2 linked regions of the Drosophila melanogaster genome follow. The protein of the gene in region 1 interacts with the protein of each later gene in a biochemical or structural test. Each region holds a gene or a part of one and is shown on either strand. Other genes may lie near its edges.

Region 1 (5,620 bases):
TCTTGGTGTCCAGCCCCTGGATCTCCTGTTGGCTCGCAGTGCTCATCAGGAAGCTGTTCATCTGGTTTTTGAGCGTATCATCCACCTCCACATCGATGTCGTAGCAGGCAGTCTGCTTGTTCTCTGCACCGCTCTCAATGAAATGATTGATCACAATCGGATCGGGCGGATGCAGCAGCGGATTGAGGCGTTGCGGTATCTCGGCAAACTTCATCCGCTGGCAACTGAATATCTGCTCCAGATACTTGTCGCAATTGATGTACTCCCGCTCGTGGGCATCCTGTAGCTTGTGCGTCTTGATGTACTGCCACAGGGCGGATATGATCACCGGCCTGGTCTGTGTGTGTACGCCCAGCAACCTGGCGAGTCGCGGGTCCAGCTTGAACTGCAGCGGCTGGTAGTCAAGCAGCAGGAGGATGGTGCAGCGCACATTGCGATCGCCCGGCCGCTTCACCTGGAACCCGTCCGTCTCCTGGGTGGTGTGAGTGCGATGCCACTCGACCAGATGGTTGTCCGGACCGTACAGTTCCTTATCCAGCTCGATAACCAGCGACTTGAAAAACGACGAAAACTTGCGTTTGATCTTTGTATTGGGATCGCCCTTGCCATCCTCTAACAGGCGACCCTCCACCCGCAATTCCCAAGAGGCAACGGCGCCCTCCTCGCCATCATTTGTGGGCTCCTTGCTGGGATAGAATGTGTTCGAGATGAAGATGCGCAGCTTGCGCTTCTGCTTCATGGGGCGCTTGAGGGCCTCCTGGATGTCCAGACGTTTGCGCATTATGGTGGCATCCAGTTTTCGCTCAAACGTCAGCAGATCCATGTACGCTTGCGATTCGGGCACCAGATCCCGCACCTTCTGCGGCAGTATCTTTTCGGCCAGCTTCTTTTTCTTTTTGGCCGTCGCAAAATCACTTTTGCTACCACCGCCACCCAAACTGCGGGATTCATTTGACCTCTTGCTGCCTCCGCCGGATCCAACACCGCCACCTCCGGCTCCAGTACCGCGAAGGCTGCTCTGAAAGCCCGGCTGTTGGGCGGCGCGCTGCAGTAGCGATGGTCCCGGTACGCCGGGTACTCCAGGAACTCCCGGTACCCCGGCCACGTTCGCCGTGCCGGGAACAGGTTGAGTAGTGTTCGGATGCAGGGGAAACCCGCGCGGCTGTTGCGGATAAGATTGTACATGCTTAATTGAAACGGTAGGTGCTGGATAATGCGTGGAAAACTCACTGGAAAAGAGGCGCCTGGCGGCGGATAGGGACGCATGCCGGGCGCCGGTGGTGGTGGCTGATAACGCGACTGCACCGGCGCTTGGCCAGGTGCAAAGCGTTGCGACATCTTTGCTACGAAGTCCTCCCTTTTTTCCAGCCGTAAACAATTGCCCTTTGCAGACGAAGGAAAATTTCTGCCTTTTTGTTTCAATACAACAACGCGTCAAACACACACACAATTTCGCCTGTAAAATGGCGTCAAAACAGGGATGCACTATTACTGGTGGTGGTCGACTGGGCGATAGATATTACAACGTTTGGCAGGGCTGCGGCTATCATTTTGCACTTTAATCGAAGTTATTCATTTCAATAGAGTTACAGCTATATAGTTGGCTTTGAAAATATACTTAAAAACTTTCAAGACATTTGTAACAAACAAACAATACGATAAGGAATATACTAGCACTTGCTACTATCGATCGAAAACATTGGTTTGCCCAAACGCTCGATAGTTGCAGTGTCAAGCCATAAACATAAGCAATATCGATAGTCGCCAATAAGTTCGGACAAGTAACGTCTTCTGAAATCGAAGAACGATAGGTTTGAAACCGACTGTCATTTTAACACAGAAAACAAATGGAAATGGAAGACAATTGGTGGGTCACCAAGTTAAAGGCTCTGGAGTCGAAGCCACAAAGGCTGGATGCGCTGACCGCCATGAACTCAGCCATCGCAAAGGAGGCGGCTCTTCCGCGTCAAATAATTGAACGCCTGCTGACCACGGACCAATTGTATGACTGCGCCAATCCCGCCGCGGATTCCCATGTTCCCAAGGATCAGGCCGTGGACGTGACCCTGGAATTGCTGTGCCACTGCCTTGATCAGCTGGCGATGGACACCGCCGACGAGCAGCTGTCCAGTCTGCTAAGACGTGGCTTGACCCACTCGAATCCAGCCTTGCGTGCCCAGGTGTTGGCCAGTTTGTTCAAGAAGCTGCTTCGCCAGTTGACCGTCGGTCAGGTTCTCACCCTGCCCAACAATGAGCTTATTTTCCTCATCTTGGACGAGCTGAAACAACCGGATACGCAGAGTACCTCTCTGGCCATCAATATCCTATCCATCGTGCTGCCTCAGCGAATCAGCAATGCCGATGTGCAGGCAAAGCTAGTACAGCTCCTAAAGCAAAATGAGATCGTGCGCTGTCGCGCCTACGAATTGGCAGTGGTCCTGGCCAAGAAAAGTGCCACCTTACTCAGTGACGTTACATTTATTCTGGATGCGGCTCTCAGCGAACTGGATAACGACGATGTTTTATTGCAGGCTAGCGTAATGGAGCTCCTAGTGCCACTGGCCGAACAAAACCATGGTCTGTCCTACATGGAACGTCGTCGCGTTTTGGATATAATCAGCTATCGGGTCCAACGCGTCGAAGAGCATCCGCTAGACGCCCTGCTCGTTCCCAGCATTATGAAGTTTTTCGGCAAAATTTCCGTATACCAGCCTCTGAAAATCATTGGCGGCTACCCGCACATGCTGGCCTGCTTGTTCATGCAGCTTCAATCGGAGGATGAGAGTATTCTGCCCACTGCCATGGATACGCTTGCCAATTTGGCCACTACTCCACAGGGCAAGATACTGCTGAACATGCACTTTAGCGGGGCCATGGAGAAGTCCTTTAAGAAGTATGGCTCGCATACTAAGAAGCTATCGGCGCACATCAAGAAGAGGCTGCTCAACTCCCTGGATGTGATTTATGACTTCAAGACGCCGCCTGCCACAGAAATCATGTAATGCTTAACTCTATAATTGAAGTTTTTCTTCTAATGATTCTCTTCTTTTTCAGTAACATTGGTAAAAACTGGTACGAGTGCTTCGCTGGGGGAGCGCATGCTAATATCATTATGGACCTGATAAACACTCCGTTCCCCGATCTTCAAATGGCCGCCTTGTCGTTCTTGAAAACCATTTGTAAGTACAACTGGGGCATTGTAGCTCTAAAGAATACCGGCGGTGCTGTGGAGTTCCTTCTTTCGCGTCAAAAGGATCTGCACAGGGACATTAAGTATATGAAGTGGCAAATTATGGAGATTCTGTCCGCTAGCGCTGAGTTTTCGCCCACCGAAACCATCCGTTTCACGGCCTATGTGAACGAGGGACCCTATCACGTCCAGGCGGATCTCGATGTAGCCACTGAACCTCAGGGCAACGCATAGAAAGCCGGATGGCAGGCATTTGCGGCCTTCGATTGCAAGTCCTATGTTCAAAAGCTTCAATTAACATCTGAATATGTATTTATAAAATTAAAATTTGATTTAACTATTAGATCACATGTAACAATATCCCATTGGGCAGGTCGAATAAATGGGGATGCAACAAATAGTTAGGATATTCTTTGGACAGTTGTAAGAGGTTTGCCTTAAAACGATTGGTAAAATAAATAATATACAAAAAAGAAACTTAAATAGCTGGAATCTCTTGTCTAAGGTTTATGTTATCATATCCTCAAATGTTATAAGTAATTTAAAATTGATATTAGAATAAGTATCAATAAGTACGTATAATACCAATAGTCTAAGGGACCAATTACATGGAAGTGTCCTGTTGTAATGCCACCCACCCACTAGCCCCAGTCTGTTGATCTCGTGCTGCATTTTAAGCCAGTTGCGCCCGCCTACAGATAGCTCATCTGCCGGTGTGACATCCGCTTTCGCCCCGACCCGCCGCCCACACCACCGCCCAAGTGCGCCAGACTGACACTCAGTCCGGACTCGTAGGCAGTCTGGGTCTGGGATCGGGTCTCGTTGTTCACCAGCGAGCAGCTGGGCAGGGTGTGACAGTAGCGACGCAGCTGTTGCTTAAAGGCCGCAGTGGTCAATGTGTAGAGCACTGGATTGAGGGCCGAGTTCACTGGCAGCACAAGAACCGCCAGCCAGGCGTAAAGATCGGGCGAGATTTCGCAGCCTGAAAGGGGTTATATATATACGAATAAGTTGATAATCAAAATAAATCATTTAAAGGCGTTGCCGATGAACTTGCCTGAAAGAGCAGCCAATTTGACCACAATTATGGGCAGCCAGCAGGCGCAATCGGTGGTCACAATGATGGCAAAGCTGTAAAAACATGATATTTCAATAATTAAATCATTTTACTTGAATTATCCAAACTTACCGAGTTGCTACCACATTCTCGCGACCGCTGTGAGTGCTTCGCATTCCGCCACCCGAATCCCTTATCGCTTGCAACATTCGAATGTAGGAAAAGAGGATGAAGATCAGTGACAACGTATTGACCAGGATGAACAGCAGCGCCGAGTACTCCCAACCCTAAAAATATACATTTTGGAATATTAGAACAGGCGTTTCCAAGGAAATGGTGTATTACCTTCGCATAGGGATCGTGGATATGCAGCGATAAGCAGACACCATTGTTGCCGTAGAAATGGCTACCAAAGTACGGATTGGGAAGAAGTGGAGCTGCAGCTAATCCGAAACTTATGCCCCACAACAGCAGAAGGCGTAGGACAATGCTGTGGAAGTTGTCATTTCAATAATTTATCATAGCTTACACATACAAAACCATAGCTTTTGCAAACTAAAATGAAGCAACAGAAAATATATATTGTACATAGTAAGGCGGCGGTCAAAACAAACATAATTGCATTTACGAACAAAATTCAAGTAGGGTAAACAAATTCTGTGCATTGATATTTGAGCAGTCAACAAATCAGCAAATGTCCGCAGCAAAAGTAATTAATGTAATAGAATAAACAATAACTTTGCCCAGCACTTTATTACATATCTATTGTAGTTCACACTTACCGAACTTTTTCCGTATCCCGTGGCTTGAGGGGCCTCGTCACCGACATCAGACGATCCCAGGTGACCAATGTGAGCAGCAGCGTCGACGACTGGCAGCTGAAGGTGCTGAGGAAGCCTACACGGCGAATACGTAATACACATTAGCATTCCATTACGAAATGGAAATGGCTAGGATGTCGAAGGATACGCACCTGCGAAGGCACAAACGCCGCTATGCCGCCAGGTCTCCTCGTATTTGATATACTCGCCGCGAAAACTGATATCCGCACAGGCAATCAATGTGAGGTAAATGCCCATGAGGAAATCACTGGCGGCCAAATGGCGAAGGTAGAGCGAGTGCTCCACGTTGCTCCGTGATTTGTAGAAGTAGCGACCGAGCAGGACCAATAGGTTGCCAACCACGGCAATCGAGGCCATCACCCAGACACTATTCAAGCAGATAAAAGTGCACAGATAGAAAGTGTTTACGCAAATGAGTGGCTTAGCTCGTTATTAGTAGTAGTAACTGCTAATTTTGAAGTTAATCTACTATGTTAAAAGCCAACAATTCAACCGTCCTTAAAATAGGTTTCATCTAGTTGGTTGCTTGTA
Region 2 (5,539 bases), on another chromosome or scaffold:
CGGTAGCGGATTCCAGATCCACTGAGAACCAAGGGAGGTGGCAGGCTACTACGTGTCGGTGGCACTGATGAAGAACCACTTACGCTTCCGTTGCTGCCGCTGTTGCTGGAACTTTGTCCCGGTTGGTAGTTCTGTTGGACGGTGACAATCCTCGGAGTGGTGATATTTGCCGCTGTCACCGTCTGACGTCCAGTAGGCTTGGGCGTCACAGAGAGCTGGCAATCCGGCTCCAGCATGCTGAGCAGATCCGGTGTGCAGACCACTTCGTTGTTGGAAGCTTTAGCGCGCTTGGATGGTGGTCCCGGAGGAATGGTTTTTGGCATGGATCCCCGTTTACTCGAGCCCGCTGAGCTGCCCTGGCTGCGTTTGGAGACATTGGACTCCAAGCTTTCCATCGAGTCGGATAAGCTGCTGGTTTTCGACTTCGCCAAGCGACAGCAATTGCTGTTATCCTTAAGCATTTGACGTCGGGCCTCCACCTCGGGAAGCTGAAGGGTTTGTAGGGCCCTGCATTACATTAAATAAGAAAAGTCAATTTAGAAAGAGATTAATCACTATGATAAGTGAATGAATGAAAAGACTTAAAGATGCCATAAGCATAGACAAGTAGGACTAAAAACCGCACCTTTTCTGCGTCTGAAGATAGTTGACCAGCGCCCAGTGTTGGGCTCGTAGTGGCCACAGGATCTTGGAGGTGCAGCTGAAGCAGTTCCAGTTCTCGTTTTGCTCGATGTCCACGATGACGCCCTTGGAGAGGTTCTTCACGATGCACGACTTGCAGAAGACGTAGGGGCAAGTGGAGCAGCAGTATACCTCGCCGCCCTGTCCGCACCAGCGGCAGTACAGCTCAGAGCCATCCTCGCCCTTGGAGAACTCGCCGCTGTTGTAAAAATCGTGGCACTTGACGCAGTGCGTCACCCGCAGTATGGGATGCATCTTGATGTTGCTCTCGGCGGCGGGTGCTGTGCCCAGGTGAAGCTTGCACACGGTGCAGTGCACCTTTCGCTGGTTCACCAGATCTACGTTGGGGTACATCTTCAGGTAGAAGCGGCGCTCCTCGTCTGAAAGCGAGGGGTGCATCTCGAACTTGGAGCCTGCGTTGCGGGTATATGCAATTTATATGCAATTTTCCACTTGGCTGATGCCCAGTACTCACTCGTGAAATCCGCATCCAATTTGGCCAGTGGCGATGGCGACGGCGTCGCTACCTTTGCCAGGCCACTTTCGCTACCCGGAGCACTGTTACTCATGACTTCTGTTCCGTATCCGGGCCTCTTGGACTAGAGCACTGCGATCCGCACCAATTTTTGTTCTAAAACGCGAAAAATTCACGATTTTCTGCTGCCGCCGCAGAAAAAAGCGGCGCGCTTATCACTTTTATGTTTGGCAACACAATAACAACAGGGCTGCAAGGGACGCGTGTTTACAATTATTTATTAGTTGGGCAAACCGGGAAAAAATATTATTGGGAGATCCTGTACTGAATGCTTCGCAGCAAGTCTCCTCGAAAATGTGTCAGATTTTTTCACCCGAGAAAGACAGCTGAATATTCCGCATCAAATTCAATATGGCTGCCCCTTCGGGTTCCAGCCGAAGTAGGCTCTACGAAGTCTATATAACAAGTTCGGACCGATACTCTAAAATTTTCTTAGGAAAACATGGCTAAAATTTTGATCAAAAAGAATATTTCTTTTTTTTTGGCATCAGAGGATCATTAAATTAGCTATAATATCACTCTAATATCACAACATTTATTGTAAATTTTTTTTAATCATTTCTATCGTTTTAAAGGCTGATAAATATATTTTATATTTTAAAGAATGTTTTCGTATTCGTTAGTCTTTGCAAGCCTTGGCAACCCTAAACTTACTAGTCATCTCTTTTACACTCATCGTCCGTCCATAAGAATCCGAACGCGTTAAGAAAGAGACAGCATATATGTGTTATTTACGAAAAACAAGAATTTTTTAAACAAATCAATATTCCAAATTGCTTTATATTTTTAACGTTTTAATTTCTCCCGCATAAGAAATATTTGAGATATCTAAAGCATTTGGCGAACTGGTTCCAGGCAATCGATATATGTGAGACCGTATAAACATATCGAGTTAACAGAATTAGTAAATCATGACTTCACATAAAATCATTAAAACAAGTTTTCAGAACGCAACAACTGATCTTCAGACAACTTTTAAAAATAAATCAAGTAAGATTTTGGAAACATAAATTCCACAATGTCAAAATATCAGTAAAAATAACTTAAAGTAACTCGAATAACTTGAACGAGGAAATCTTAATGAATAGTTGATCAAAATAATCAGTCAGAAATAGGGAATTTTATAATTGTACACATATTAGTAAGTCGTAAGGTTTCGTATTATGAACATGTAGATGTTGTACTAAGCATTTCCTATTACTATTTTAAATATATAAATATATAAATAGACATTTATATATAAGAATTTCTTTATTACAAAGTCAATTGATAGTCGCTCATCGTTTCTATGTTACAATTACTGTTTACTTTTCTTGACTTCTTCAAAATATTTAAAATATGAACATATGGATCACATTAGAAATTTAATAAATCTTTTATGTCTGGTATTTACGATATAAGCAAATTTATAACTAGCCCGAAGCAAATTCTGAATCCTTTGAAATACCTTGACAATTATGTTGCTAGTATTAAGTTAATGTTTTTATTATTTATTTATATATTTTTATTAATGTTTGTTCTACTCTCACAAAATTTTGTATATTAAAAGATTTAATATATGAAATCTGTATCGATAACTATATCGATAAATCACATTGAGATATTAGAAAATTGAAAAAGGCAATAAATTTTTTCCAGTTTTAATAAATAGTGATGGGAAACTATCGATAGTTGCGCCATTCGATATTTTCGATGTTTGGAGAGCAAATTTTCGATATAACTTTAAAATAATAAAAATATTAGCAATTTTAAATGTTTTTCTCAAATAGGTATAGTTACCTTCCAATATTCTAGAGGATCTGTATTTTCCTCTGAGTACTTCGGATTAAAAAGCATTACAAAATTTTTCAATGTCCTACGAGATGGAAGCTTATATCGCGTATCAAATGCTTTCAGTATATCGCGAAATCCATTGTCCTCCACTACTGAAAATGTGCGCATATCAGTGGCTATGTACATACTTCATGATAACTCGCCGAGTTCTGCTATCCGACGAGAACTCGAGTCGTAGCTTGGAGTCACACATTAAAACTTTTCCACATTGTGAATATTTCGCGGTCTTACCATCAGTTGATTTAACAAAAATGAACAGCACTATCGATAGCGACAAAAAACCATCGATAGTGGCTCAGAAAAGTAAATATCCGATACCTCGATAATATCGATTATCCCAGCACTAGTTCTATTTTCACAAAGATGCAGCAATATTAACAAAGTCATTTATAATTTATTATTATTTAAACAATATAGATCCTTTTAAAAAACATTGAGCTAAGGTACGTCCAAAAGATTTAAAATAAAAATTGAGAATGTGGTGGTAACTTGCTAAAAACAACTTCTCGCTCTTTCCTCATTATTTTGTTTACAAAACTTTTAAAGCAAAGGTTGTCTTGGAAATTTATTCAGTATTTATACTTTCTGTAGTGGGCTTCAGATATTGAAACTGACGTCGCTCCAAGCAAACGAAATGTAAACATATTTATATATACTAAGCATAAATTAGAACGTTCCATTCGTTCTGTTTACTCCCACCCAGATTTTGTAAAGGATTATCGGTGGCCGCAATGGAAAGTGGGTCGACTGCCAAGACGGGCGATTTCTTTTACGGTTGGGATCTGCTGTACAAGACCGTTAAGGCTGATGTCTCCAAGAAGTCAGACCTTTTGATTGCCCTCGTCCATTTTCTTTTGACCAAGCATTACAACTTCCGATGCGTTGGCGTTGGCGATGATGTGAGTATGATTATGGCCACGCATATTAGTGAAATCATCTGGAATTCCATAGAAAACCTTGCCGGAGGAGGAGGGCAGTGAGCTGCTGCCGGACAGCTGGAATGATGACGATACCAAGTACTCGCTGCGCTACGTGCACGATAAGATGCTGTATTTGCTGCTGGGCCACATCACCGAGGGCTCCCTGCTGATCAACCTGTTGGACATCAACACTAAGAAGGTATCCAACATCTGCGTAGAACCAGAGACCCTGGTACCTGAGGTCAAGGGAGGCATCACCACCATAATGCCGAGTGCCTCAGAGATTGTTGAACGCTACCGTAGGGAGCTTCTAGACCCTGTATTCACGGGAAACTCGCGCGAAGTTACCACGCAGACGACCAACTCACCACGCCCCATTGGATCGGATCCAGATCCCTTGCGCATCGGCGAGCCAAGGCGTGGCGGGTAAGAACACTTGTGGATAGTTTTTTATACACTCGTTAATCGTTTCCCCTCGTTTAGATCCTTCATTCCAAGTGCATTCGAGCCTCGCCCTTTTGGATTTCCGGACGTTGGACGCGGGGATCTCGATCCACTGGGTCGCGGTGGTCATGGTAACCTGTTCAGCTTTCCATCACGCCCAAATATGGGCCCGGGACCCGTGCCCCGCTTCGACCCGTTCAATCCCCTGAACCCGAATAGGCCGGGACAGGGTGGAATCAATCCAGATCATATGCGCCCACCAGATTGGAATCCCGATTACTACATGTAATTACCAGGAATGCCATGTATAGTGAGCAATTCAAATCTTTAGTTTAAAGCAATGAAAAAAGTTTTCATTTTAGAAGACCAAAATTAAACGGATTGTTTTAAAAGATTATTTTTATTACGTTGCATACACAATACAGAATATTACAGAATTTTACAGATATAAAATAAAAAACAGCAGCCTGTTAGACAACGCTTGTTTGAGTTTTTACTAGAAAAATTCGTAGTTAAGAACATTTATCAAGTAAATACGCAAACAGGCCAGTTGAGTTGACGGCTGCTCAAGAGAAATTTACAATATACTTAAAAGCTTAACTGAACTCGTGATGTAATGGCTATTCATTCATTTCGTACAACAGGGTAAACAAAATTGGCTCAAGTGCGTAATCTCAAAATTGCTAGGGGAAAAGCGCGAAAAATCACGGCACTAAATGTTACAATGGTTTGCGATTACTCTTGTTTTTTTTGTTGCTGCTTATGCCTAGCCTAATATTATTTTACCATAATATTTTGCTAAATTAATATAATGTAAATAATATTTCAAGCTGTGTGCAGCCGGTTGACTTAAATTAGCTCTGCACGGTAGGCGTCGTTCCCTCTCACGCCGGGATGTGCAAGTGTTGTGGTGTGTTTTGTGCCTTGGCCGCTCAAAATCCGGCTAAAATCCCGCCCAGGTGCGGTGTGAACTACGCTCAGTCCCATTCCCCGATGAACATGCGTGGCGTGGGCACGTAGCCGCGCGTTGGCAGCGGTAAATGGCGTCCGTAGATGTGATTGTAGGGTGATTCAACAAGCTCCGAATCTACAAGAAGCACAGAAATCCGTGGTTAAAAATCGGGTG

What was found.
Region 2: the proteins of CG12096 (region 1) and PI31 interact in far-western blotting, tested with the Drosophila melanogaster proteins (one study listed by BioGRID).

The regions. Positions count from the first base shown.
Region 1 is NC_004354.4:13,158,036-13,163,655, forward strand, and holds CG12096 (uncharacterized protein), read left to right. Parts: upstream 1-1,778; 5' UTR 1,779-1,847; coding exon 1,848-2,998; intron 2,999-3,054; coding exon 3,055-3,424; 3' UTR 3,425-3,882; coding exon of another isoform or gene 3,883-4,172; 3' UTR 4,173-4,247; coding exon of another isoform or gene 4,248-4,321; 3' UTR 4,322-4,379; coding exon of another isoform or gene 4,380-4,534; 3' UTR 4,535-4,592; coding exon of another isoform or gene 4,593-4,737; 3' UTR 4,738-4,819; downstream 4,820-5,620. Other genes in the region: Bap60 (brahma associated protein 60kD), read right to left, coding at 1-1,162, 1,231-1,338; Lgr4 (Leucine-rich repeat-containing G protein-coupled receptor 4), read right to left, coding at 3,883-4,172, 4,248-4,321, 4,380-4,534, 4,593-4,737, 5,030-5,144, 5,221-5,456. UniProt on the Drosophila melanogaster protein: Acts as a chaperone during the assembly of the 26S proteasome.
Region 2 is NT_033778.4:11,966,693-11,972,231, reverse strand, and holds PI31 (proteasome inhibitor 31 kDa), read left to right. Parts: upstream 1-2,116; 5' UTR 2,117-2,206; intron 2,207-3,381; exon of another isoform or gene 3,382-3,492; intron 3,493-3,577; exon of another isoform or gene 3,578-3,752; 5' UTR 3,753-3,780; coding exon 3,781-3,948; intron 3,949-4,000; coding exon 4,001-4,395; intron 4,396-4,452; coding exon 4,453-4,702; 3' UTR 4,703-4,889; downstream 4,890-5,539. Other genes in the region: ADD1 (ADD domain-containing protein 1), read right to left, coding at 1-507, 626-1,094, 1,157-1,250.